Linked DNA regions of Oryctolagus cuniculus. The protein of the gene in region 1 purifies or fractionates together with the protein of each later gene. This does not show direct contact. Links are inferred from orthologs where the notes say so. Each region holds a gene or a part of one and is shown in the gene's direction. Other genes may lie near its edges.

Region 1 (4,522 bases):
TAATTTCTTTAACTAACATTTTATCATTTCTTTAATTTCTGAAGTTTTCTTTTTTTAAATTTATTTTATTTATTTGAAAGACAGAGTTACAGAGAGAGGTAGAAACAGAGACAGAGAGAGGTCTTCCATCCACTGGTTCACTCCCCAGATGGCTGCAACAGCTGGAGCTGCGCCGATCCGAAGCCAGAGAGCTGGATTGGAGGTGGAGCAGCCGGGACTAGAACCGGTGCCCATATGGGATGCCAGTGCTTCAGGTCAGGGCTTTAACCTGCTGTGCCACAGCACTGGCCCCATGTTCTGTTTCTTTGACTTTTCCTTAACTACTAGTGCGGTTCATGGTTTTCCAACTCTTCACAAGGCTTTGTATTTTTCCTGCTTATTGCTTGTGATCTCTTTTGCCAATCTTTTTTTTTTTTTTGTCTTTTTGCTTTGGAAGAGCCTTTTGCATTCTGTCTACTTCATCGAACATTTCTCCCCAAGCTTTATCTTTTTATTTTTGAAGTTTAACAGGCAGAGACAGACAGATGTTCCACCCACTGTTTCATTCCCCCAAATGCTCTCAATGACCTTGGGGGGTGGGAGTTTGAAATCTGGAGTCAGGAACCCCATCCAGGTCTCCCAAGTACCTGAGCCATCACCACCTGGTCCCATGGTCTGCTTTAGCAGGAGCCAGAGAAGGGTACGGAGCTCAGGCACCTTTATATGAAAAAGAGAGAGAGAGAGGGATCTTTCATCTGCTGATTCACTCCCCAAATGGCCGCAACCACCCAGGCTGGGCCAGGCCAAAGCCAGGAGCCAGGAGCCAGGAGCCAGGAGCTTCATTCAGGTCTCCCACATGCTCCCCTGCTCGCCCAGGCACATTAGCAGAGACCTGGACCGGAAGTGGAGCAGCCAGGACTGGAACTGGCGCACATATGGGATGTCGGCACTGCACGTCGTGGCTTAACCTGCTATGTTTAAAACTATTTATTAAAGGGGCCGGCACCCCATATGGATGCCAGTTTGTGTCCCAGCTGCTTCTGGTCCAATCCAGCTCTCTGCTATGGCCTGGGAAAGCAGTGGAAGATGGTCCAAGTCCTTGGGAACCCTGTACCCATATGGGAGACTCATAAGAAGCTCTTGGCTCCTGGCTTTGGATTAACATAGCTCCAGCCATTGTGGCCAACTGGGGGAGTGAACCAGCAGATGGAAGACCTCTCTCCTTATCTCTCCTTCTCTCTCTCTGTGACTCCGCTTCTCAAATAAATAAATAAATCTTAAAAAACCAGCCTATTTATTAAGGTCTTCTAACTAAACAGGGATTGGAAGCATGCTGAAAGACACTAAGACTTGTTGAATGCCCGCGAGTCAAGGCGCGTGGGATCGGGGTAGCAGTCAACTCGCGAAAGCGCTTACGCGGGGGACCTCTGACCTCAAACAATCTAGTTTTGTGCTCTCCAAGTGCCTCCCCACCCTGCCTTTTGGCGCCCTTCCACCAAGAAGCCCTCGGGGCATTTCTCTCCAGGTCCCGCCTCGGTCCACGCCGTTTAGAAGCGCCGTTAGCAGCGTGGGCGGAGAGAGGCGCGGAACAAAATGGTCCGACTTCTGGCGGCCCGGCTCGCTCAAGGGCCAGCTTGTCTCCGCCCGGCTTCCTCGCGCTGCCTTTCGGGAGTTGTAGTCAGAATAGCTTCAGTTTGCTCCGAGGTGCGTAGGGACAGGACTCCAACTCCCAGTACGCCCCGCGGCCCCCGAGTGCAGCGCCTATTTTCATCCTCCCCACTTTTCCACTCCTCTTCCTTTCCTTCTCTTCTGTTTTCCCCATTCTGGGCTGCTGTGAAATCCCTCGTTGCTCTCCATCTTTTTCTCTCATTTCCTGACCATCCTTTCCCCCATCTCCGGGACATCGGCTCCGTTTAAGTGACGGCTGGAGACTCGGGGCGAGTGAGGGGGGTCGGCACAGAGTGGTGAGCGGGCCCGGGAGGGCGGGTAGACGGAGGTAGAAGAGAGCAGAGAGGGGTGGGGAGTGGCAGAAAAGTCGGGGAGAAGAAGTCGGGGAGAAGTTAGGGGATGGGACGGTGTGGATCGGGGTGGACGCAGTGAGGTAGACTTGGGGGAGGTGGAAGTGGTGGGTCTGGATTTGAGCAGCGTGGAGAGCAGAGGTTTGTTTTGCCGTACCTCGCAGAAGAGGGGTGCGAAGTAGAGGATGGGGAAGACGGACAGAATTGGAGCTTGCAGACTGCTCTGCAGGAGGGGCGGAGGGAGAGAGTGGGCGCAGACAAGGTTCTTTGCTACCGCTTAGCTAAAGAAGACAGGTCGTTGCAACCAAAATGATTTTTGCAAGTAGAGGCCAGTTAGTAACTTGGAAATTGAGGGAAGTCTGGAGTGGTGGGCAGAAGTGGGATGAGGAGGCAGGAAAGAGGGGAGGCTGGTCAGGTTTGGAGAGACAGCAGGAGATAAATGACCTGGGAACGGACACCACGGGTATTACTGTGGGGACTGATGGATCTGGAGTCAGAGGTCAGGGGTGACCCTGGTGTGGATCGCGGGGGTGTGCGGCTAACACTTGTCTCTCAGGTGATGGAGAGTACCCCTTCTAGGGGTGGACTGAACCGGGTGCATCTACAATGCAGGAATCTGCAGGAATTCTTAGGGAGCCTAAGCCCTGGGGTTTTGGATCGATTGTATGGGCACCCTGCCACCTGTCTGGCTGTCTTCAGGTGAGGAGTTCCCTTCACGGCAGCAACTGTGGTGGAGAAATGTGGTAGGGCTGGCAGACGGCAATGAGTTATCCTGGGCAGAACCGTAGCAGCCTGGCACGGCTTGGGAATTACTCCAAATTGATGCAGATGGAACAGATGGGGGTTCTGGGGACAGCAGGACTGGTTAAGATACGTGTGTGTGTGTGTGTGTGTGTGTGTGTTTCTGGTGAGATGAGATGTTTGAGAGGCATGTCAGGCAGAGATAGAGATAGAAGGCAGCTTCTGGTTTTGATTTCTGACCTCTACCCTCTGCAGAGAGCTCCCATCTTTGGCTAAGAACTGGGTGATGCGGATGCTCTTTCTGGAGCAGCCTTTGCCGCAAGCTGCCGTAGCCCTGTGGGTGAAGAAGGAGTTCAGCAAGTGAGTCTCGACGGCACTCTCAGCCAGATACAAATTTCTCAGCAGCTAGATTTCTCAAACTGCTGTTCTTTGGCACACTCTCAGGAAATACTAATAGGTACACCACAAAGCTTGCATGCTGTGTCTTCCTTCTTGGAGAGTTGTGATGTCTGTAGCAAGGTTCTGAAATTTGTGTTTAGGGGCTGGCTCTGTGGCGTAGTGGGTAAAGCCACCGCCTGCAGTGCCGGCATCCCATGTGGGCTCCACTTCCGATCCAGCTCTCTGCTATGGCCTGGGAAAACAGTGGAAGACGGCCCAAGCGCTTGGGCCCCTGCACCCACGTGGGAGACCCGGAAGAAGCGCCTGGCTCCTGGCTTCAGATTGGCCCAGTTCTGGCCATTGAGGCCATCTGGGGAGTGAACCAGCGGATGGAAGATCTGTCTCTGTCTCTGCTTCTGCCTCTCTGTATCTTTGCCTTTCAAATAAATAAATAAATCTTTTTTTAAAAAGGAAGAAATTTGTGTTTAGGAGACAGTGACTTCACTCTGAAATGGTTCGGAAGAGGCAGAAGTGGAGCCTGTGTGGGCCTCCTTCGTTTTGTTCTCGGGACACCCACTTAGCACTCATCTCGGCTTCTGTTCCAGGGCTCAGGAGCAAAGTACGGGGCTGCTGAGCGGCCTCCGGATCTGGCACACCCAGCTGCTCCCTGGAGGCCTCCAGGGCCTCATCCTCAACCCCGTCTTCCGCCAGAACCTCCGCGTCGCCCTTCTCGGTGGGTATGTCACTTCCATCTCTTCCTAAGCCAGCCCAGGGGGACAGGTAGTTCAGCTGCCGGAGGGGGAGCTCCTGGGGGGAGAGGGAACTCCTGGAGGGGAGAGGAGACTCCTGGCGGGGAGTGGGGCTCCTTGGAGCCTTGCGGGGCCCACCTTTGAGAACTCCTTTAGGGAGAAGTTGAATCAGATACAGCTGCATGGTGTAGGAAGTGTCCCCTATGCATGGCCCTTGAGGTAAGGGTGGAGAGGGGGCAGACAGGCAGCAGGGAACAGAGCCAAGGTTCCTCACCTCTTGGTGCGTCCTGGCCTTAGGGGGAAGGCCTGGTCTGATGACACAAGTCAGCTGGGACCCGACAAGCATGCCCGGGATGTCCCCTCCCTCGACAAGTACGCAGAGGAGCGATGGGAGGTGAGGCCCCTGGGGTTCTGCGGTTCTGCGCTCGCGCCGCTGCATCTGTGGCTCGCAGAGGCATCAGCCTCTGTGTTGTCTTCTGCTCTGCAGGTGGTCTTGCACTTCATGGTGGGCTCCCCGAGTGCGGCCGTCAGCCAGGACTTGGCCCAGCTCCTCAGTCAGGCTGGGCTCATGAAGAGGTGAGCAAGCTGGAGGTAACGCGACTCCCTGCTCTGCCGTCTCTTTGGGTCCTTGGTAAATGGTGTCTGGAGTGGGACCAG
Region 2 (2,982 bases), on another chromosome or scaffold:
AGCTGTACCAAAAAGTGATGAATCAAAACAGTTAGTTGCACAGTGGTTTGTATCGCAGCTATGAAAACCAGTTCTCATTTATGACAGTTGGCTTCTTGAGGTTGCCAAGCATTCTGTTGTGGTGCTTGAACTTGGCCACAAGTGAGCGACATTGGAGTGGAGACTGTGCCTCTCTTTTGAGGGCCCGAGGAAAGAAAAGAGGGTGCTATCACATCATCTGGAGTGGAGCTAAACATTAGTTGAAAACTGACATCAGGAATGGAACATTCATTTCCATGTCCCCTGTAAAAATGCCACTCACATATTATTTGTACGGTAATGTTGCTTTCCTAGTGAAGCCAGGTTGATTTCTAGACTTGCTGAGGTGACTTAACACTTACCTCATTGCTCGTGTATCAGAATGTGAACAGTTGACATTTTATTGTGTCCTGGAAGCTCATAAGCAGATAACCCTGGCTTGGGTAGGTTTGTTGAATCCTTGTTTATGTAAGTCCTCTGGGAGCCAAGGTTCTATCAAGTGCTTGACAGTGACCACTAACCAATGGCATGCACCTGCAAGGGTGTGTAAGATGGGCTACGAGGAGAAAGAATTAGACCTTGAAATATTATCATCTTTTAAATGTTCTACTTATATATTTATAACATGTATACTCTACTATATTATGTATATGATGTGGCGTGTTAATACTTTATATAATTTATAAATAAGTGTATGGGTTTCAGAGATGCATGTACAAGTATACTATAAATATACTACCAAGAAAGTTTTAAATTGTTTCTCAGGGAATATTAAATCTCTTCCTCCTTCCACTCTCCCCTTTTCACCCTTGGCAGAGAAGCCAAGAACTGAATTAGCACCTTGATTTGTGGCAAGGTGCATAAATTATAGCCAGCTCCAGGAGCTTAGCCTGTATCTTACTTTGACCACTTTTTCTATTTGGTCTCTTGTGTTGCACATATTTTTTAATCACAAAAGCTTATTAAACAAGGATACAAATGAAAAACAGACTTATTATGTTAGAAAGACTAAGTTGTTCATGCACTAAGATGTTGACACACAGGAAGTTTGAATGAATGAGTGGAAAAGTTTCCAGCTTATTAAAATGTTCTGGGACCTGATTTATTCATTTGCTATACCTGTAATTGTAAGGTGGGTGAAGCTCCTGGACTTCCTCCGACTGAAGGAACAATGTGGTTTTCTGCACCAGGCACTGAAACAAAGCTGGGAATGTTTGTTTTCTGGCCTTGTTGGCAGTCATGCTAAGAAGCTGCCCCTCGTTGGCCAGGTTTATCCTATTTTTTTAGCCTGTTTTGTCAATATAGAAAGTTTTAATTGCTCAAAAGTCTGAATTCAAAGAAAAATTGTGCCCATTACACTGTGTTTTACGATCAGTTCAGGACTTTCCCGTATTTACTATTTGAGACATTATTTTGAACTTGTGCCCAGTCTCAAAGATTTCTTGGACATGTAATTTTCCAAGTTTCCTTCCCTGCAAGGAAGCAGTGTATTTTTGGAATATTGAAATAATCTTGAAGTAACTAGTGTCCTCTCCGCCATTTATATTATTTAAGAGTTTGCTTTAAAACATTTATGTAAACTATAGTAATGCGATAGCGTGGTGACACAGTATTGTGTATGTAAGAGTAGGCCAGGAAGGAGAGCATTAGTTAGTTGCTCAAACAACAGCCAACAAAACAAATCAGTCCTGAAAAGTGTGGCACAGTGGGCATTTTAATAGCAAGCTTTGTTTCTGAAACTGACAGAGCTGTAATTTCCGTTGTAATTCAGTACTTGCTTGGGCCCTCCATGTACAGTTGGCACACTTCCTTCCCAGAGGTAATAATCCATTTATGAAAGCCTAGACATTTGGTTTTAGAATTTTTTTAAAATTGGACTCCGTTTTACTGTCGCCTTTAAAGAATGTTACCAGTCTCTGTGTGCATCTGCATCACGCTCCGCCTTTTGTTTTCTTCTAGGTATTTAACCCACGTCCGAGCTGCCTCTCCACAGGACCTCGCTGGCGGCTATACTTCGTCCCTTGCTTGTCACAGAGCCCTACAGGACGCATTCAGCGGGCTTTTCTGGCAGCCCAGTTAACCTGGATTTCTCCATTTATAAGCTTTGGACCTTGGAGCTGAACCAGGGAGCCAGCAAAGTAAAGCAGACGTGTAAAACTATACCACATGCAGCTGCACAAAAGCACCCTCACCAGCAGCTGTGTTAAACTATTTATAAAGAGAGAATCGCAGAACCAGCTGAGAAATACAGGGCGTGCATATTTGTGGGAAAGATTTCTTTTTCACTCGTATTTTTCTGAGGGTGATTGCTATGCAGCAAGATTCATCTGATGGAAAAGAGGAGTAAATAATTCACCTGTGTATGTTTGAGGTCGACAGACTTGTAAAATCATTTTAAAAATAAAGCTAGACTTTATATAAGGTTTGTGGTTTTTCTCTTATTATAGTGTTTCACTTGAACACATTTTAAAATGCCATTTTGATTACAACATTTAGTGTTAATATCCAAGTCTATTATTCTTCTCATAAAATCTTTCTTTTTTTCTAATGTCTCCTCAATACTGTGCCAGACAAGTGGATATATTTCCTTCTGCCAGCAGGTTGTGGCAAGTAAAACCTGACTGGTGATAATGTCACTCCCTCAGTATTAAGGACTTAATGCTTGTTTGACCAGTGGAAAGTGAGGCCAGCCTTGATCAAGGTGTTATGGTTCCCAGCTGTGAGGCACATTCAGGGTAGACCAGAACACTGCATTAACCTGCTTTAATGACAGATTCAAAGAAGTAAGTTAATAAAACTTAATACTTAAATGGCACCTTTCACCTCCAGTGTGAGCACATTTTATGATGAAACATTGGACTGGAAAAAGGTACATTTTAAGTGAAATTTCCCTGTGTGTGAAATGTAGACTCTGATGTAGTTTTCTGTAGAAACTTCAAAGGCTTTTATTATGCCCAGGGTTTT

Evidence for each region.
Region 2: the proteins of GTF2H4 (region 1) and MNAT1 purify together in Homo sapiens (co-immunoprecipitation; 3 studies listed by BioGRID and IntAct, with this or other methods). This does not show direct contact. The link is inferred for Oryctolagus cuniculus from reciprocal best matches to the Homo sapiens genes GTF2H4 and MNAT1.

What each region holds. Positions count from the first base shown.
Region 1 is NC_091436.1:139,556,927-139,561,448, reverse strand, and holds the start of GTF2H4 (general transcription factor IIH subunit 4), read left to right. Parts: upstream 1-1,722; 5' UTR 1,723-1,943; intron 1,944-2,553; 5' UTR 2,554-2,556; coding exon 2,557-2,696; intron 2,697-2,993; coding exon 2,994-3,098; intron 3,099-3,721; coding exon 3,722-3,853; intron 3,854-4,162; coding exon 4,163-4,259; intron 4,260-4,352; coding exon 4,353-4,441; intron 4,442-4,522. UniProt on the Homo sapiens protein: Component of the general transcription and DNA repair factor IIH (TFIIH) core complex, which is involved in general and transcription-coupled nucleotide excision repair (NER) of damaged DNA and, when complexed to CAK, in RNA transcription by RNA polymerase II.
Region 2 is NC_091451.1:9,614,840-9,617,821, reverse strand, and holds the end of MNAT1 (CDK-activating kinase assembly factor MAT1), read left to right. Parts: intron 1-1,977; coding exon 1,978-2,098; 3' UTR 2,099-2,439; downstream 2,440-2,982.